3 linked regions of the Ovis aries genome follow. The protein of the gene in region 2 binds, or shares a complex with, the protein of the main gene of each other region. Links are inferred from orthologs where the notes say so. Each region holds a gene or a part of one and is shown on either strand. Other genes may lie near its edges. The genes, in order: TAF10, TAF3 and TAF4.

The links.
Region 1: TAF3 (region 2) and TAF10 share a complex: the UniProt entries of both Homo sapiens proteins name them as parts of the TFIID basal transcription factor complex. The link is inferred for Ovis aries from reciprocal best matches to the Homo sapiens genes TAF3 and TAF10.
Region 3: TAF3 (region 2) and TAF4 share a complex: the UniProt entries of both Homo sapiens proteins name them as parts of the TFIID basal transcription factor complex. The link is inferred for Ovis aries from reciprocal best matches to the Homo sapiens genes TAF3 and TAF4.

What each region holds. Positions count from the first base shown.
Region 1 is NC_056068.1:46,194,151-46,199,807, reverse strand, and holds TAF10 (transcription initiation factor TFIID subunit 10), read right to left. Parts: upstream 2,852-5,657; 5' UTR 2,827-2,851; coding exon 2,595-2,826; intron 2,457-2,594; coding exon 2,302-2,456; intron 2,066-2,301; coding exon 2,001-2,065; intron 1,913-2,000; coding exon 1,798-1,912; intron 1,615-1,797; coding exon 1,525-1,614; 3' UTR 1,444-1,524; downstream 1-1,443. Other genes in the region: ILK (integrin-linked protein kinase), read left to right, coding at 1-7, 117-244, 340-461, 557-656, 764-894, 1,064-1,213. UniProt on the Homo sapiens protein: The TFIID basal transcription factor complex plays a major role in the initiation of RNA polymerase II (Pol II)-dependent transcription.
Region 2 is NC_056066.1:12,340,939-12,346,398, reverse strand, and holds part of TAF3 (transcription initiation factor TFIID subunit 3), read right to left. Parts: coding exon 5,368-5,460; intron 2,764-5,367; exon of another isoform or gene 2,692-2,763; intron 2,410-2,691; coding exon 2,303-2,409; intron 1,365-2,302; coding exon 1,250-1,364; 3' UTR 1-1,249. UniProt on the Homo sapiens protein: The TFIID basal transcription factor complex plays a major role in the initiation of RNA polymerase II (Pol II)-dependent transcription.
Region 3 is NC_056066.1:54,789,029-54,795,413, reverse strand, and holds the start of TAF4 (transcription initiation factor TFIID subunit 4), read right to left. Parts: upstream 3,962-6,385; 5' UTR 3,902-3,961; coding exon 2,626-3,901; intron 1-2,625. UniProt on the Homo sapiens protein: The TFIID basal transcription factor complex plays a major role in the initiation of RNA polymerase II (Pol II)-dependent transcription.

The sequences.
Region 1 (5,657 bases), on a different chromosome or scaffold from region 2:
GGCTCAGGTGGGGCAAGGCCTAAACTGGAAGCCTTGATTTCAAGGAGCCCTGTCAGCACCCAGAGGGAGATCTTTTATGCTGGATCTCAGCCAGGGGCATTCTCTCCCTCTTCCAGGATTTTCTCACATCCCAATGTGCTCCCAGTGCTTGGTGCCTGTCAGTCTCCACCTGCTCCTCACCCGACCCTCATCACACACTGGATGCCATACGGATCCCTGTACAATGTGCTACATGAAGGCACCAGTGAGTAGGGAGTGCCAAATCTCACTGCAGCAGGGTGTGGGGAAGGAAAGTCTGTGAGCCTCTCCAAATGATTTAACTCTTGCCTTCTCACTTAGATTTCGTTGTGGACCAGAGCCAGGCTGTGAAGTTTGCATTGGACATGGCAAGGGGCATGGCCTTCCTACACACACTAGAGCCCCTCATCCCACGACATGCACTCAACAGCCGTAGTGTAATGGTGAGATCACAACTTCACTCCCGGCCCAAGCCCCAGAGGTCCTTTCCCTAGAATAGGACTTACCTCCTTCCACACAACTATCTTCTCTTCCTCAGATTGATGAGGACATGACTGCTCGAATCAGTATGGCCGACGTCAAGTTCTCCTTCCAGTGCCCCGGGCGCATGTATGCACCTGCCTGGGTGGCTCCTGAAGGTGAGTGATGGCATTATGATGTGAGGCAGAGAAGGGGCAGCTCAGTAGTAATGGAAGGGAACACAGACAGGACAAGCAGCTGGAACAGATAAGTCCTATCCCTCTAGCTCTGCAAAAGAAGCCTGAAGACACAAACAGACGCTCAGCAGATATGTGGAGTTTTGCAGTGCTTCTGTGGGAACTGGTGACACGGGAGGTACCCTTTGCTGACCTCTCCAACATGGAAATTGGAATGAAGGTGAGAGCATAACTGGATATACTTGTGGTGGTAGTGACAATAATTGTAGTGGGGCTGGGCTCCTGCCACATTGATTCAAATACACAGAATCCTGTCCTGAGGGCTAGACGTCTCTCCCGACATGAGACTCAAGTTCTGAGACTCACCTTGTTTTTCCTTGTGTTTGCAGGTGGCATTGGAAGGCCTTCGGCCTACCATCCCACCAGGCATTTCCCCCCACGTTTGTAAACTCATGAAGATCTGCATGAATGAAGACCCTGCTAAGCGGCCCAAGTTTGACATGATCGTGCCTATCCTGGAGAAGATGCAGGACAAGTAGAGCTGGAAAGTCCTTATCTGAACTCCAGAGGTGTCAGGACACGGTTAGGGGAGTGCACCTCCCCAAAGCAGTAGGCCTCTGGTTGCCTCCCCTGCCACTAGTCATGGTACTACCCCAGCCATGGGGCCCATCCCCTGCCCCCATCCCTACCACTGTGGCCCCAAAAGGGAATGGGCTCAAAGCTTTGTCACTTGCCACACGGTGTCTCCCAGCATGGGAGGGATCAGCCCTGCCTGTCACAATAAAGTTTATTATGAAAACAGGCTGGTGTGGGGACAAGAGAACAGACAAGTACATTTAGACTGGGTGGCTCAGGTGAAGTAGTGCGGCTTCTTCACATTGATGCCATACTCGCTGAGGGCAGGGGTCAAGTCCTCCATGGTTAGAGTGTACTTGCGGTCCTGAGGGAAGAGGGAAGAGCACCAGCTGAACACAGGAATTCCAGATTTCAATCCCAGGCAGGTGACCCTGAGTAGGTCTTTCACCTCCCCTAAGGCTTAATTTCCCTCAAAGGGGTTTCAGGATAATTTAAGCCTCTGCTGCTGTAGGAAGTAATTACTGAATCAATGAGCCTCCCCTCACACCTTGCTCTTGCTTCGGGAGCTGCCAGAGGCTGTGCCCTTCATTTTGCAGTGCTGTAGGGCATCGTTGGCAATATCTGAGATGAATTTCTGGGCAGCTAGGGAGATGAGCCGAATTCTGGAGAGAAAAAAATGGTATGAGAAGAGCATAGACAATAAACTCCACACAAACACCCAACACTCTAACCTGCCCAGAGTTTACTCACATGCGTGGGTCGGAGGCCTCAAAGCCAGCACGGTTCAGGTAGTAACCAGTCACTGCATCAGGGATCTGAGAAATCAATTAGACGACTGTAAGCGTTAGCCCTGTGTACAGCGGGGCTGAGAGTCGGGGTAAGGGAAATGGAGGGCAGGCCTGGCTATCAGGAAGCTCCCAGTTTGGGTGGGCAGAAGGGAAAAATCACAAAAGCTAGGAAGAGAAACACAAGAGGATGCTGCAAATCCAGATGGTGTGGCAGAAGTTGGCGTGACAGCGAGTCATTAGCCTTGTTCAGGCAGGAAGCCCACCGTAGGCGTGTAATCCTCCAGCTGCATCAGGAAGTCCACTAGAGGCGTGCTGGACACCACTGGCTTCACCTCTCCGTTGGCCGCGCTTGGCAGCACGTAAACCCCGTTAGACATGGCCCCCTCCGGGGGCGCCGCGCCGCCGGTCGTCACTGGAGCTGGAGGAAAACCAGCAAACTGAGACACGGAGGTGGGAGGCTCGAGGGTTCCGCTAGGTGTGTCTTACCCTCTGCCCTCACCCGCCGCTGGGCCCAGCCCAAAGCGCGGCCCTCGCCCTCACCCGTCCCGGCCCTCACCCGCCCCGCGCCGCTCGGCAGGCTCCCCGGCCCGCGCCGCCACGGCTCCAGTGCCCCCTGCCGCGGCTCCAGCCCCAGGCCCCCCTGACGTCCCCGCGGGGCTGGCCTTGTTCTCCGCGGCGGTGCCGGCGGGCAGCGCGGCGGGGGCCGAGACCGCGGGCGCCGGGCCCGGGGCCGAGGCGGCGGAGGCCGGCGCCGCCTCGGGGTCCGCGCCGGAGCCGCTGCAGCTCATCGGGCCGGTGGGAGAGGCGGCGAACAGAGCCGCTTCCGCTTCCGTTCACCTTACGCACACACCAGGGGTGACGTCACGCGCCCCACGACTCGTTCCTCCCACGCCACGTTCGCTCCTCCCTTAGGCCTCCTTCCTTTATTCCCCGCCCATCCAGCCGCTACCTGACAAAGGCGGGAGGGCGGAGACCAAGTGTTGCGGAACTGGGCTGGCGCGGACATTTCGCGTCCGGACCCGCGGTTCTCCAGTGTGGATCCGCTGGGATGGGAACCCCTCAATGTCGAGGATTCTCTTCTATGGGCTTGAGGCCCCCTCACCCAGCCTGACGTCTAAAATTCTTGCTTTGATGCTCATCGCCCCGACACCTCTCTACTGTTGGTCGCCTGCGTGTCTGCATCTTTTCTAAGTTCCTTTATCCAGCCTTTTAAGGGTTTGTAGTGGAGTTGAATAGCCTCTTTCCCCGCCAGCTGCCCAAAGTGAAGGTAACCGGACAGCTGACACAGTGCTGCTGCAGATGGGGAGAGAGGTACAGTCCACCGTCCGTATAGGTGGTGAAGGGTTGGTAGGATTGGTTCCGGGACTCCCCCGACTCCCGTCCCCAACCCATGTATACCAAAATCCGTGGATGCTCAAGTCCGTTATATGAAATGGCATAGTATTTGCACTGTATACTCTATATAATCTCTAGATTGCTTATAATATCCAATGCGATGTGAATAGTTTACTGGTGCATGGTAAATTCAAGTTTCGTCTTTTATAATTGGAATTAAAAAATATATATATCTTCAGTTCACGGTTGGGTGAATCTGTGGATGGAGAACCCGAGGATACAGAGGGATGGCTGTCTTTCAGTCTTAATAAACAATTTATGTAAAATCACGGCTAGTGAAAGAGTGGGGTTTTCAACACAGCAAAAATTTATTTTTGTCAGTCCTGAGCTAGGGTCTGCAAATACAGAGTTAAGTAGGAGAAGGTTCTACTCCTCCGGGCACCAGTGGTCTTGCAAAGGGAGGCATTAACAGTTAAACTTGCCATTTCACCAATATATGGGAGTTAAAATACTGGAGGTAGACACAGGGTGTGCAGTGCAAGGGAGGAAGGGAACTAATAGTTGCTGCCTACATCTGTGTGTTAGGCATTCCATTAAGTTTATTCCACTTAATGATTTCCTGAATATTAGAGGCAGGTATCAATATCCTCACTTAACAGATGAGGAAAAAGTCTCCAAGAGTTGAACTTACTTCCCCCAGGCTCTCTCTAGTCTATATCAGAACCAAGAATCTAGGACTTTTCTGTCATACCCACATCAACTAGCTTCAGGGAGCCAAAAGATTCACAAGAGGTGAGCTGAGTTTTGAAAGAATTCTGGACCTCAGCCAGGCACAGGAAGCCAGGGGTAATGTTAGGGCACAGAATATCTTGAGCAACAGTGAATGAAAGTGCATGGAGGGGAGTGTGGGGAGACCGGGAAGGGTAAACAATTTGTTACTTGGAAACAAATAGCAAGTAAAGAGATAGGTTTGTAAGTCATGATAAAAAGCTTGACCTATATCCAGTAATCTTTGAAGGCTCTTAATTAAGTAGATGACCTCATGAGATTTGCTCTGATAGTTGGTTTTGGGGCTTCCCTTGTGGCTCAGTGGTAAAGAACATGTCTGCCAATGCAAGATACCCATGTTCCATCCCTGGGTCAGGAAGAACCCTGGAGAAGGAAGTGGCAATCCACTCTGTATTCTTGCCTGGGAAGTCCCATGGACAGAGGAGCCTGGTGGGTTATAGTCCATGGGGTTGCAAAAGAGTCAGACACAACTTAGTGAATAAAGAACTGGTAGATGGTTTAGGGAAAGGCAGGATGTAAGGGCACTTCTTGCAAGGGCCTCAATTCAGAGGAGCGGGAATATGGCTCACAGCTCATGTAGTAGCAGTGGAGCTGGAGAGAAGTAGATGAATTCAAGATACACTTTGGAAATATAATTGGAAGAACTTTTGGGTTGATAAAGATGTATTTAAGAGATAGAGTCAGTAGGACTTGTTGACAAGGAGATGATGGGAGGAGGTGAAGGAAATGGGAAACTTGGATGATACTTTAGGTTTCTGGCTCAGTTGGAAGTGTCAAGCATAGTGTCATTTATAAATAAGAAAAGAGAACAGTTTGGGATTGGGAAGAACGGAGATGAACTATTGAGAATTACACATCTTGCTTTTGAGGTATCAATCCCTGTAGGATGGAAAGTCCGATTTAGTGAGATGGTGATGGCTGTGGATGCCAGTCATTGATTTGTTTCAGTGGACAATGAGTCAAGTGAGAAGAGCAAAAGACAAAGGATAGAGCAAGGATACTACATGGATTAGGTATGATTAGCATTTACACAGTTGTACCATTGCAAATCCTGTATGCAGCTCAGACAAAAATAGAATTGTATCGAGAGGACAAAAGAATGGGTGGTGCGGATTTTGAGTGATTGGGACAAGGAAGAAGAATGATCACAAGCTAATAGGAAGTCAGTAATGGCTATAATTGGGCAGGGGGAAATCAATAAACAGCAACATAAGCATGTTATTTAGAGATAAACTAGTGGTGGAAAACATGCCTGCCAATGCAGGAGATTTAAGAGATGCAGGTTCCATCCCTGGGTCAGGGAGATCCCCTGGAGGAGGGCCTGGCAACCCACTCCAGAATTCTTGCCTGGAGAACCCCAAAGACAAAGGAGCCTGGCAGGCTACAGTCCATGGGGTCACAAAGAGTCGGACACGACTGAAGCGACTTAGCACACACTAAAGAATCATCAGAAACAGTTGAAATGATTGCCTCAAGTAGCAGGAAATGGGGGTAG
Region 2 (5,460 bases):
CTATTAACATATAATAAATAGTGGGCAGTATAGTAATATAATAAAGTTTTGTGATACCCTGAAATTTGATGAGTTTTCTTTAAAAAAAATTGCATAATATACTTCATTTCAGCCTTAAACCACAATATCAATGAACAGATTTGCAGAAATAAAACAATATAAACACAAAATGCTACAGTATTTTTTTTTTTTTTTTTTACTTTCGGGGAATCTACATGTCCTTTGAAACAAAAGGAAGTCAAAGAAATTTACAGAAATAGAAGAGATAACAAAACAATTTCAAATCACAAGCCATAGACTTAAATTGCCTTGTTTTCCTTCCAACTGCTCAGGTCCTCCCCCCAGTGTTCTGCGAGGGTTCAGTTCAAGGTAGGTAACTTTGAACTTACGTATGGCTCTTTTTTTTCCAGCCTTCTTTGCTTATGTACAGCAGTAATTACAGATGTGGCTGAAACTGCAGCGCGTTTCACAGAAAGCCAGAATTAAACACGATAAAAATTTTTTTAAAAATAACTACTTCATAAATATTTATTATTTACATTAGGGGAGATCTCCTGGTGTGCAGAGTTTTCATACAAGCTGATGAGATGGGTAAGCCATGAGAAGACCACCAGCAGTTTGGAGGAAAGGGCAAAGCTGGGGGACGACAGAGAGAGAGGACAGGTGAGAGAGTCAACAAAATCAAATTGTAAAAGAGCCAACAGGACATGATAGAAACCTTTTTCTTAAAAAATATAAGGTATTTCACAAAAAGCCTGAACATTTTACATGTTAGTACTAAAAACGAGGGGTGGGGTGGGGGAAGCTTCATATATTTTTCATCACAAAAATATTTACTGACACTCCCCCTGGAGTTTTCTTTCATGTGATTACGATTATCTGACTACAGAGGGGAGGAGGCTGGAGACACATACAGCCGACCCACGTCACCCTCGGGCACGGTCAGGGCGGGCCACACGCCATCTTCTCAGCTAACACCTTACGGAAAAGGCCCTGGAGAGAATTGAGGAAAATCGAAAGGAAAGATTATAGTCTTTATTAATAATACTTGTCACTGGTAATAGGAAACGGAGGCGAGGCCTCCCCCCCGCCCCGTGCATAAGAGTCTTTCTCCGGGGGCGACCACGTGGCCCTCGGCCGGGGGCCCTCGCAGAGCCCCCGGGGGTGGGGGGCACGTGTCCTGTCCTCAGTCTGGCCGGGCGCAGGGTCCGGGGCCATGCGGTGGGCGTGGGCACCCCCGCTCCAGGCATCAGTGCGCCCGGTGCTTCCGCTTCTTGTGCTTTTTATCCTTCTTCCTGTTGGAGCACTTGGGGCAGAACCACTGCATCTCTTCCGGGGGCGCGGCCATGATCCCCACGCAGGGCCTACACGGGAACCAAGCAAAAGGCGCTTCAGACAAACAGGCTTCAGCGACACACATCTTCTCATCCTACGTTTTTCAGGAATTTCACATCATTCAATAACCTGTTAGGTTTATGGCTTCGATCCCTGGGTTGGGAAGATCCCCTGGAAGAGGGAAAGGCTACCCGCTCCAGTATTCTGGCCTGGAGAATTCCACGGACAGTGTAGTCCATGGGGTCACAAAGAGTCGGACACAACTGAGTGACTTTCACTTTCAAGGTGCATTTACCGGACACCCAAGTCACCAGCTCTGGCAGACAGACGCTGCTGCACTCCTGCTGGGCGTGTGGGAGATCACCTTACACGAGCCCCTTCCCCAGGCCCTGCTGGAGACATTAATTAGCTCATTCATCCTTTCAGCCAGAAACAGTCTAATTCTTCTGAGCCACGGCTTTGTTTTTATCTCAGAGACATTGTATAGCATGTGACTAAGTGGATGCCTATCTTTTCATATCTGATATTTTCAAGATAACACAGCGAGGCGGTATGCATGCGTCCTGATGCTGCGCCTTCAGTTTGGGGAGGGCGCTGAGGAGCCGGGGAAGCCACTCAAGCTGCCCCTGTACTCCTGCACTTTATGGCAGTGTTTACGGGGTCCCTCAGTGTTTCTGCAGCTGCTACAGAAAATGACTGACAAGAAAGGGAAGGGAACCAACCCCTTGACTCTCCTTTTCCCTTTCTAAAGAATACGTGTGCTAAGAGACACACTGAATTTAGGCTGAAGAGCCACAGTCTAAAGACTAATTTTTGCAAACAATACGAACGCCATTCTCTTGGCACAGGGATTCTGCTCCAGACGCTCTTCCCGGGAGACAGCTGCCCTGGGAGAAGAGCCTGCACGGGCCGGGGCCACGCGTGTGCTGAGCCTCTCCTCCCTCCCCCCGTCCCGCAGGGGACTCACCAGTGGTACCAGTCGTCACAGTCGTCACAGCCGATCATGGGGCTCCCATCGTCGGGCTTGTTGCAGCCGGGACAGATCCAGATCTGGTTTCCCCACTCGTCTCGGATCTGGGGTGGGGGTGGGGGTGGGGGAAACCAGAGAGGCATTGAGAAAAAAGAAATCCCCAAAAGGGCATTATAAGGATTGCCTACACCCTGTGGAGCTAACAGACTGACAGACTAAAGGAGCAGACAGAAAAACCTAGGAGCTAACAATTCATTAGAGCTGTGATCATGGTCCTCACTATCCTGGCACCATATGGGAAAAAAAATGCTACTAACAGTTCAATGATAAGACCTTTCTTCTACTTTTTTTTTTTTTGCCACGTTGCATGGCTTGCAAAATCTTAGTTCCCTGACCAGGGATTGAACCTGGGCCCTGGCAATGGAAGTGCCGAGTCCTAATCACTAGGCCATCAGGGAACTTCCAAGACATTTCTAATGGCTATTTTAAACTGTCTTTTGAAAGTCATAAAAACAAAACATTTGATAATCATTTCTGTGAGCCATGTGACCTAGTCACCTTTATCTAAAAAAATACTGAAACACAGGTTCTGAATGACTACTAATGCCTGATACTTCTGAAAGCTACCTAGCTCAACTCTGTGTTGTTCCCTCCATTGCATTCACAGGTCTGGAATTAATAAATGCGACCTATGTGCATATATCGCCTTATTACTTATTAGCCAAACCCTCCTCCTGAACTGGCTGATAAGATCAAGGATATAAAAGAGTTGTTACTAAGTAACTTTCCATTCCCTTTATGACATTTTCAGCAAAGTACAATCAACTAAAGGGCAAATGAAATAAGGGACGCAGGAGGCCAAAGAGCCACACGTTTTCATGTTATTTTGCAACAAACACGCTGTGCTCTGGACTTGACTTAGCAGTTCCAAATAAGAAGCATTCCCAACTGAACCACCTCCTCAAATTCCACATGAACAAGACCAATCTGGAAGAGACAATTCCATGACAGGCTTTCAAAGCCAGCAATAACTAAGAGTTAATTTTTTAAAGTTTTGCTGATCACACAGCATATAATTTCATCCAGTTGATTTTGAAAGCTGTAGTCTCTCCTGGTACGTTCAGATACAACACTGACTGGATGTGCAGAAGAAAAACAGTTTTTTGTGTTTGTGTGATGGGTGTATGGGGGGCAGAGACGGTTCATTCTAACTCACGGAATTCTAACTATTTTAAGGTCTGCCATTCTGGGAAGTCTCTGCAAGAGCAGACAAGGCTGTAAAGGTTTCCTGAACAACTCTGTAGGCAGCCACATCCCTGACCCGGGCCTAGTCTCCAGTTTCAAGCAGAGAGACCACCAGTCGGCCTGTGCCAGCTGTCTGGGGTGAAGGCCAGCCCAGTACCCTGTGCCCTGAAGCTGCCATGCATGCCCTGTCCTGCTGCTGATTCTTGAAATTAGGAGGCCGTGACCCTGCGACCTGAGAAATCTGCTACAGCGCCCAGCCCCTCTCGGTTTACTAGGCTCTTCGAAAACACCTGACTTGGTTTCATCCTCCTAAAACAATGCTTGGGTAGGTCAGAAACGGGGAGACTGGAGCTGAAGGAATGTCAGTGCCAGTTCCAGTGCCATAATAGATTGGGCAGCAACGAAATCGGCCTGTGTCCTTCCTTCGAATCACAGTTTGTCCTCTGCCTACAAAGTGTCTCTGAGGGGGCAGAGGCTTTTCGTCTACGCTGTTTATGCAAGTCTGATCTATCTCCAGGGAGTTGACTCAAAAATCCACTGGAGAATCAAGATTTTAGAGCTAGAACACACCACAGGGATCACCTAGCGTAACAATCCCTGGTTACAGCTAAAGAAATGGAGGTCGAGGAGATCGAGCATAAAGTCCTCCCCGATTTACCCATCTTGGGGTGACGTGGCCTCAATTAAACACCTGTGGCAACTGGTCCTTGAATGCACTGATTTAATGACCACAGATGTCTGTACCATGTCTTCCATTGTTGTCTTGAATTGCCAATTTAATATTTTCTCATTAATATTTCATGTCTTTATATCCTCTCTGAAGACTTCTGACACTTTCTTCTTATCCTCTGTATCATGATAGTGCCTCAAACACTTAATGATTCATTGAAATTTCCTTTCAAAATGCCCGTATTTACGTATAGAAACGTAATACTTGCACGATTTTTAATGACAACGGCAGGAGTCCGAGCTTGTCGCCTCCCAGGCACATCTATTCTGAAAGATTCGTGCCACCACCAGGCGGACACACCTCAGGCTACATGCTTGGTGGTCTCACAGTGTCGGCTCCCTGAGGACCGCCACGTGCCTGAAATCTTTTTGTCATGTGCTTGTGTGAAACACCACGTAGCCCAAAGAGCTGATTTATTACTCAACTGAATGCAGGGCTTGAGCTAGACCTGATAGTACCGAGTAGGAGGAAACATGAGAAAACGGTCTCATGACAACCGTGTGAATGCATCTGTCAAGGTGAGTTTTTCCACCTGAAGACAGGCTGGGACTCAGCAAGTTCTGTGGTTGACAGGTTCATTTCCGTTCATTCTGCCGGCCCTGATATGTTCTGGGCCTCAGCCAGTGAGATACTATAATCAGTGCTCCTGCTCAGAAAGAGCGGCTGGCCCATGAGATGTGTGCACGCCATGCTAATTATTCTCTGAAGTGAATCACTGCTTAATCAAGAAAGTCAGTGAGGAGTCTGTCTGTCACTATTCACCTCTATATTTATACACACATTGTGCTGTATATATGTTTATGTGTGTGTGTGTGTGTGTATATATAGTTATATTCCAAAACAATGACGAATAACAAAAGCAATGCTCTGACATTATTTATGGAGACTATGCAAACATCCTAACACAATACTTTCAGCCAAAGGCTTGAAAATGCAATGAACATCCCTTTCCAGTCATGAACAATTGCTTCTGAAATTCAATGATGGTACATCTGACACTGTTTTAATTGGAAACATTTTCATGAGCAAAGAGTGAGCTCTTAAGTGACTTTCTCTTAAATACTCCCCAAAACAGAAAGCAGCTCACCACGTAAGTGCTGACTGTCTCTGTGACCACACTACGGACGGGGGCTTTGGAGCTGGCGGCTCCCGAAGCAGCAGGCGCTGGGTCGGGCATCCC
Region 3 (6,385 bases), about 42 Mb from region 2:
AAAGGCCTGGCGGCCCTCAGGGACTCTGTGAAGCCTCTGTCCCTCTGTTTCCATCACCACCACCCACCGACAGTGGGGCAGGCCTCTCTCACCGGTACTCAATTGCCAACAGTCTGTTATTTCACTTGACACCTATGTGTAGCTTTGAAAACCCTGCCCACCCCTAACCCCTGAGTACTAACCAGAGTGCATTATCAGCCAGGCGATAGCTATTTTCACAAGTTAATTCCACCTCTGCTTTATACATTTTTATAATGAGAGCTTTCAATGAACAGGAGACCTCAAGTAGAACTTAGTGTCTTCCAATCGATCAATTACATGAGGTAACTAGAATATTCATAATCTGTCACTTTGATTTATAAAATTAATTTGTACTATTTAAAAGAAAGTACTTTGTTGTGGGGAACTGGTAGTAGTTTTAACTATGCTTTTTCTGCTCCTGCTTTTATTAAAATGATGGAACAGAATTAATCAGAGCTCCAAATGAGCGGATCGACTGTGGGGGTAGGGGAAGCATGAAGAGATGGATGTGAGTTTATTTTCTAGAAAGCATTTGGCCCCTTTAAAGCACAGCTCTCCGCATTTGTCACCCAAATGTCAACATGAGCTGTTCTCTACTCATACACACACACACGCACGCGCACGCACACACACACACACACACACGGGACTACCGCAAAGACTCATGAGAACTCATGCAAAGAGTCAGCACTTTTACAGTTTTCTTCAAGGAGTCGCCTACTTGTCACATGCAGACATCCTTAACACCGCCGGTAGAACAGGAGATGAAAGTGCGTCCAGGGTCAATCATGACAAAGCTGACAGAGGCGCCCTTTCAGAACCACAGCTTCCTCCCCCAGAAGGCGGCAGGCAGTGAAGGCTGCACCTATGCAGAGGCGAGGGGATCCAGTCAGCCCCAAACCGCCACACCTACAGGCATCACACGAGTGCCCCGGGGGGCCTCCTCCGCGGGCACAGCGCCAGCCTCACCAGCTCCACTGACTCACAAACTTCACTGACAGTTTTCAGAACAAAAGCGTCATGCAGGGAACTGTCCTGGCCAGGAGTGGGGCAGGGGCTGAGAACCACTGAGGGGATACTTTAATGAGTAACTAAAAAGTATTTTGACGTTTTACATAACCTGTTACCACCATGACTTCTCTTTTTTAAGCGTCACTAGAGATCAAACATATTTTCCACTAAAAGGTCAAAATACACATAATGTGCAAAACAGAACCTTTAATGAAAACCTCCTACAAACTCAAAAACAAAGCATGTTGTAAGAGGCACCCTGCACCTCTCAGGTACCTACTTCACATCACCTCCTCCTGGGATCAGGGCAGCCCTCACGACCACCCCCAAACAGCACTCTTGGCTGGAACCTTGCCTCCTCCCTTCTGTGGTGTGAAATCAGATCCCTGCCAGGTGCCGCCACCGCTCCAAACCTCACGGCACTGTGACAACAAGACCTTCCTTCTAAGACGCTGAAATCCTCTCAAGGTGACCAACGGCTGCTTCGGAAAGCACGAGGGGACGCACACACAGGCGGTGCTGCTTCCACTGCTCCTGCCACCAGCACACGTTACTACACGGCAGGGGAGGAGCGCTCTGCGTCCACGCAGGCCAGGCCGGGGATGGAAGCAGAGACTGGGAGCCTCCAGCGCTGGGGTTTCTCTCTGCCCAGCAAGCCCGAAAGAAAGCAGCGGGACACACTTAATGCCACGGGGACCTAGAAAGCCTTAAAAAGCTGCCCAGAGAACAGAAGATGGAGTGTAGGTTTGGAGACACTGCCTGTCCTCCTACACCATCTGTACCTCCAAAAGACTCACTGAACGGGGAGCCCCAGCCCACCGCTGACTGCATTGGTAACAATCAAGGTAACCGGGCGTCCTCCAAGTGAGGACTCCGTGCAGAACCACACGGCCACTACGGGAAGTGCTGAAAAACGACTGCAGGAGCCGCGTGAGGCAAGGGCTGTGACCAGGAAGGGTGTGTGCCCCGGGATCCCTACAAGCTCACCTGGGAACTCTGCCATCCTGGTGTCAGCAGGGGAGCAAAAGCTTTCCACGCAGGCTTGCCCAGCCTCACGGAGGGGGCGTCACTCCCCTGACCTCACCGGGAAAGGGGGTCCCTAGACCACCAGAAGGGGACACCAATCACAGACCAGCCCAGTAACAGAGCAGAAGAGTTCAGTGAGGACACAAACCATATGCCTGATCCCAGAAACCAGGGAGAGAACAGCCAAACGTGGGGAAGTCACCGGCCCAGACTGAATAACCCAGCAAGTTGTCCCGAGAGCGCCAGCTGCTACTGCTGTCCACTGTGGGGGCACCGGGCAGGGACACACAAGGCCAGGAGGAGAGAAGAGGGCCCACTCGGCGGAAGTCCCGACAGAGAAAGTTCCCCAACGCAAAGTGGAGAGTAGAAGCCAAGCCCCGCACAGCTAAGAGGCCCCAGCAGCCACATCACGCAACACTAGAGCACATACAGGCCCGGGACCGGCCCGGACCGGGGCAGAGACGCACCGGCAGGGCTTCATGACCTCCGCGTCCTGCCAGCCAGACAACTTCCTGGACTCCCGGCTGGGGAGCACACACACAGCCGCTCGGCGGCGCGGCCACTCACCTGGGGGCAGCTGGAAGTTCTGGATGTTGGTGGGGTTCTGCGGCGGCTGCGGCAGGCGTGGGGCGAGGACCGTGGGCGTCAGCGTGGCCCGGATCCCGCCGGTGGTGGCCGAGGGCGTCCTGGGCAGGCTCTGGGTCACCGCGCTGGCCGAGCCCTTGGGCAGCCCGGTGGGGGTGCCCGGGGCCGGCGGCGGGAGGCCGGCGGCGGCGGCGGCGGGCAGTGCCCCTTGCATAGTTGGCCCGAGGATCATGCCGGACCCCGCGCCGGCCGGGCAGCTGGTCGCCAGGGTCTGCGGCGGCGGGGGCGCCGGCTGCAGCGCGGTCTTGGGCGAGTCGGCCTTGGCCACCTGCGCGGGCGCGGCGGCGGGCCCGGGCTGACTGTTGGCGGCGGGCGCCGGGGCGGGCGCGGGCGCGGGGGCCGGGGCGGGCGTGGGGGCGGGCGCGGGCGCAGCGCTGCCCCCGTTCTGCGCGGCCGCCGGGGGTCCGGCGGGGGGCCCGGGCGGCCGGGCCAGGCTGGCGGCCGCGGGCGGCGGCGGCGGCGGGGCGGCGGCGGCGGGCGCGGGGGGCGCAGGGGGCGCGGCGGGCGCAGGGGCCGCGGGGGGCGAGGGGACGCGGGGCGCGGGCGCGGCGGGGGCGCCGAGGAAGGGCGGCGTCTGGATGACAGTGGCGGCGGCGGGCTTGGGCGGCGGCGGCGCGGGCGCGGGCCCGTTGTGGAGCAGGCTGACAGCAGGTGCGGCGGCGGCGCGGAGCGAGTTCCCCAGCGCGGCGCTCCCATTCAAAGTTTGCGCGGCGCCGGGGCCGCCGGGCGGGCCGTTGCGGGCGGCAGGCTTGGCGGCGGGCTCGGGAGCGGCCGCTGCCCCCGGCGGGCAGGCCCCGGCCGCGGCGCCCGCTCCGGCTCCGGCCCCGGCGCCCGCGCCGGCCTCGAGCGCGCTCAGCTTCGCGGCGGGCCCTGCGGAGACAAGCGGGGCGGCGCGGTGAGGACGCGGGCCCGGCCGGCGGCCGCCCGCGCTCAGGCCGCGCCGCGCTCTACCTGCGGGGGGCGGCTCCGGCGCCGCTGCGGGCGCGCCCTCGGCCGGCACGGCTCCGGCTCCGACATGGTTCCCGAGCGCGCCGGCGGCCGCGGCCCGCGCCTCGGGCGCGCGGGGCGCGAGGTGGTGGTGGTGGGCCGCGCTGGCCGCCAGCTGCGACTCGAGCGAGCCCACCAGGTCGCTCACCACTTTCTCGTCCACCTCGCTGTTGAAGAAGACCTCGTCCAGCAGATCCGAGCCCGCCGCCATCTTTCCTCCTCGGCCCGCCGCCGCCGCCGCTCGGCCGGCGCTGGGCGGGGAGGAGGCTCCGCGCGGGCGGGCGGGCGGGCGGGCGGGCGGCCGCGGGGGCGGGCGGGGGGCGGCGCGCGCCGGGCGGGGCGGGGGCGGCGGCCGGGCGGGGGGCGCGGGCGGCCGGGCGGGGGGGAGGGCGGTGGCAACGCGGTGCGCAGGCGCGGCGGCGTGCCCGCCCCCGCCCGCCGCCCGGCGCCTCACCATTGGCCGCGGCGCCCCCCCGCCCGGCTGCCCGGCGTCCCGTGATTGGCCGTACCGTGCACTTAAAAGGCGCGGCCAATGGCTGCGAGCGGCAGAAGCCGAGGCGCGGGCGGGCGGCCGGGGGTTTGCGGGCTAGTGGGCTGGGGGCCCGGGAGTCCTTGGTCTGGCGGGGATGGTGGGGTGCAGGTTGCCGGACGGGCCAGAGGCTGACGACCCGGAGGACAAGACGGGCGGGGACCGCGGCTGGGGCCTGGTGGGGGCGGCAGCAATGACTGGCTCTTTGTCTCCGCTTGCTCCAAAATGGCTGCGGCCGGAGCTGATGGGATCGCCGGGCGGGCGGGCGGGCGGGCGAGGGAGCGGGGACGCCTATATCGGAGCTAAGGCCGCCGCAGCCCGCGGGAACCCGGCACCCCTTGAGGGCACTGCCTGGGGGCTGGGTCAGCGAGGTAGCCTGGGCGTCGTCGCCATTGCTCCCGGGCGGGCGCAGGCCCCGAAGCTCGGGGCACCGGGCGGGGCGAGCGCGGGCCTGCCCCCCGGACCGGCGCCTCGGTCCGCCCGAGACCGGGCGTCTTGCGCTGTGATGTCCGCAGCTTGGGCGGCGGGGGCGGGGCAGGGGTCGGCGCCCGAGGCCACGCCAGGGTGACTCATCTCCTCCGGCTGCGCGGCCCCTGGCCGCGAGTGTCTGTAAATCACTGGGTGAGACGGTGGTGCCGGCCGGGACCAGCAGCTCGCGTAGGGAAAGGGAGCGTCCAGCTTGGAGGTTTTCCTGGGGTCCTTCTCTCCCGTTCTGTCCTTTTGACGAAGTAAGTTATTTAAAATAACCTTACGAGCACCTTCTCTGTAGGAAGAATTCACCTGAAATTCTCGCCTGCGTTTTTTGTTTTTTTCACCGAAAGATGGTATTCTAGTACATGTCTAGTGGTTTCCTCTCTCTTTTGGGGTGGGGAGGGAGGAGGGTAGACCCAGAGAAGCGCCTCCGGCAGAACAGGCCACACCGCAGTCACACGGCCCGCAGCACAATGCGGGAAGCTGTTGACACACAAATGATCTTTTCTACCCGCCTAACAAAAGAGCCGGCGGCCCCCGCGAGCCCAGCTCCCGGGGCGGGTTCAGACAATGAGCGCGGGGGTTGGAGCCTGCGAAGGGGCCTCCCCGGGCGACCGCGTCGGGGAACCCCTGCAAAGAGAGAATAGGAATTTTGCACCTGAAGCTGACTACTCAAAACACAGGAAAGGAAAAGGGTGGAACAAACCTGGGCTGGGGGTACCTTGAACTCGGGGTGCCTGGGTCCCATCCCCACCGGGCTTTGAGCCCAGCGGGGGCCGACGATCTGGTTTGCGAGCAAGAGCAGAAATGTGGGAATATGTGTAAAATCTGATCTTTAATGTTGACAACTCATCAGAAAATGTTAAGTGAGCCAAACAAAAGCAGGCCCCGGGTGCCGTAGTGGGAAACAGAGGGGTACACCGTGATCTGCAGTCAGAACACCCAGATCGGAGTCGGGACAAAAGTGACAGCCGTGCTACGAGGCAAACCACTGACTGACGCGAGACGGTCAGGCCCGGGGTGGGGGGGAATGGGGGGTCCCCTCTCGCCCGCCCCTGTAGTTACTGGGATCTAAAGTGAAAGGAGCAGGTGGTACCGTCTCGGGCCCCTCCTGCTTTCCCATAGAGGTCCGCCCGCCAGGACCCCTCCAACCCCGGGGCCCCTCCCCCGCCCAGGCCTCCGCGCCGCAGCGGTGCTGACATCACCCCCAGCGTCCTCCGGGGCGCCCTCCGGTCCGGCAGGAAGTGGGAGGTGAAGCGTCGGTGCACCGTCTTCCCTCCCCACCCCGCTCCGCCGCGACTCCGCTTCCAGACGGGGTCTCTGCGCCCCAGCGGAAGGTGGGGGCTACCAACAGCTTAGGCAGCTCTTACGTCTCGGACACCCTGCAGAGACCTGCCCGCCCCGGAGAGTGGGGGAGGGGCGGTAGCCACGTGGCTCCTCCCCTCCTCCCTATGGTGGGCGGGGAGATGCTGCCAGACTGTTAACCTTGGCCACCCTGGGGACTGGAGCATTTTCTTTGAATATCTCTGCATGGTTTTGTTCCCACAAGAAGCTTCCGTAAGACTTATGTAGTTTGAAACAAAAATTCCACCTAGCATGAAAAGAAAAACGGGCCCGAAAACGAGTGTCAATATACACACCAGGTTTAAACATGGAAAAATGTTTGCTGTTAAGTGAGAATGGCAGAACCCCAAA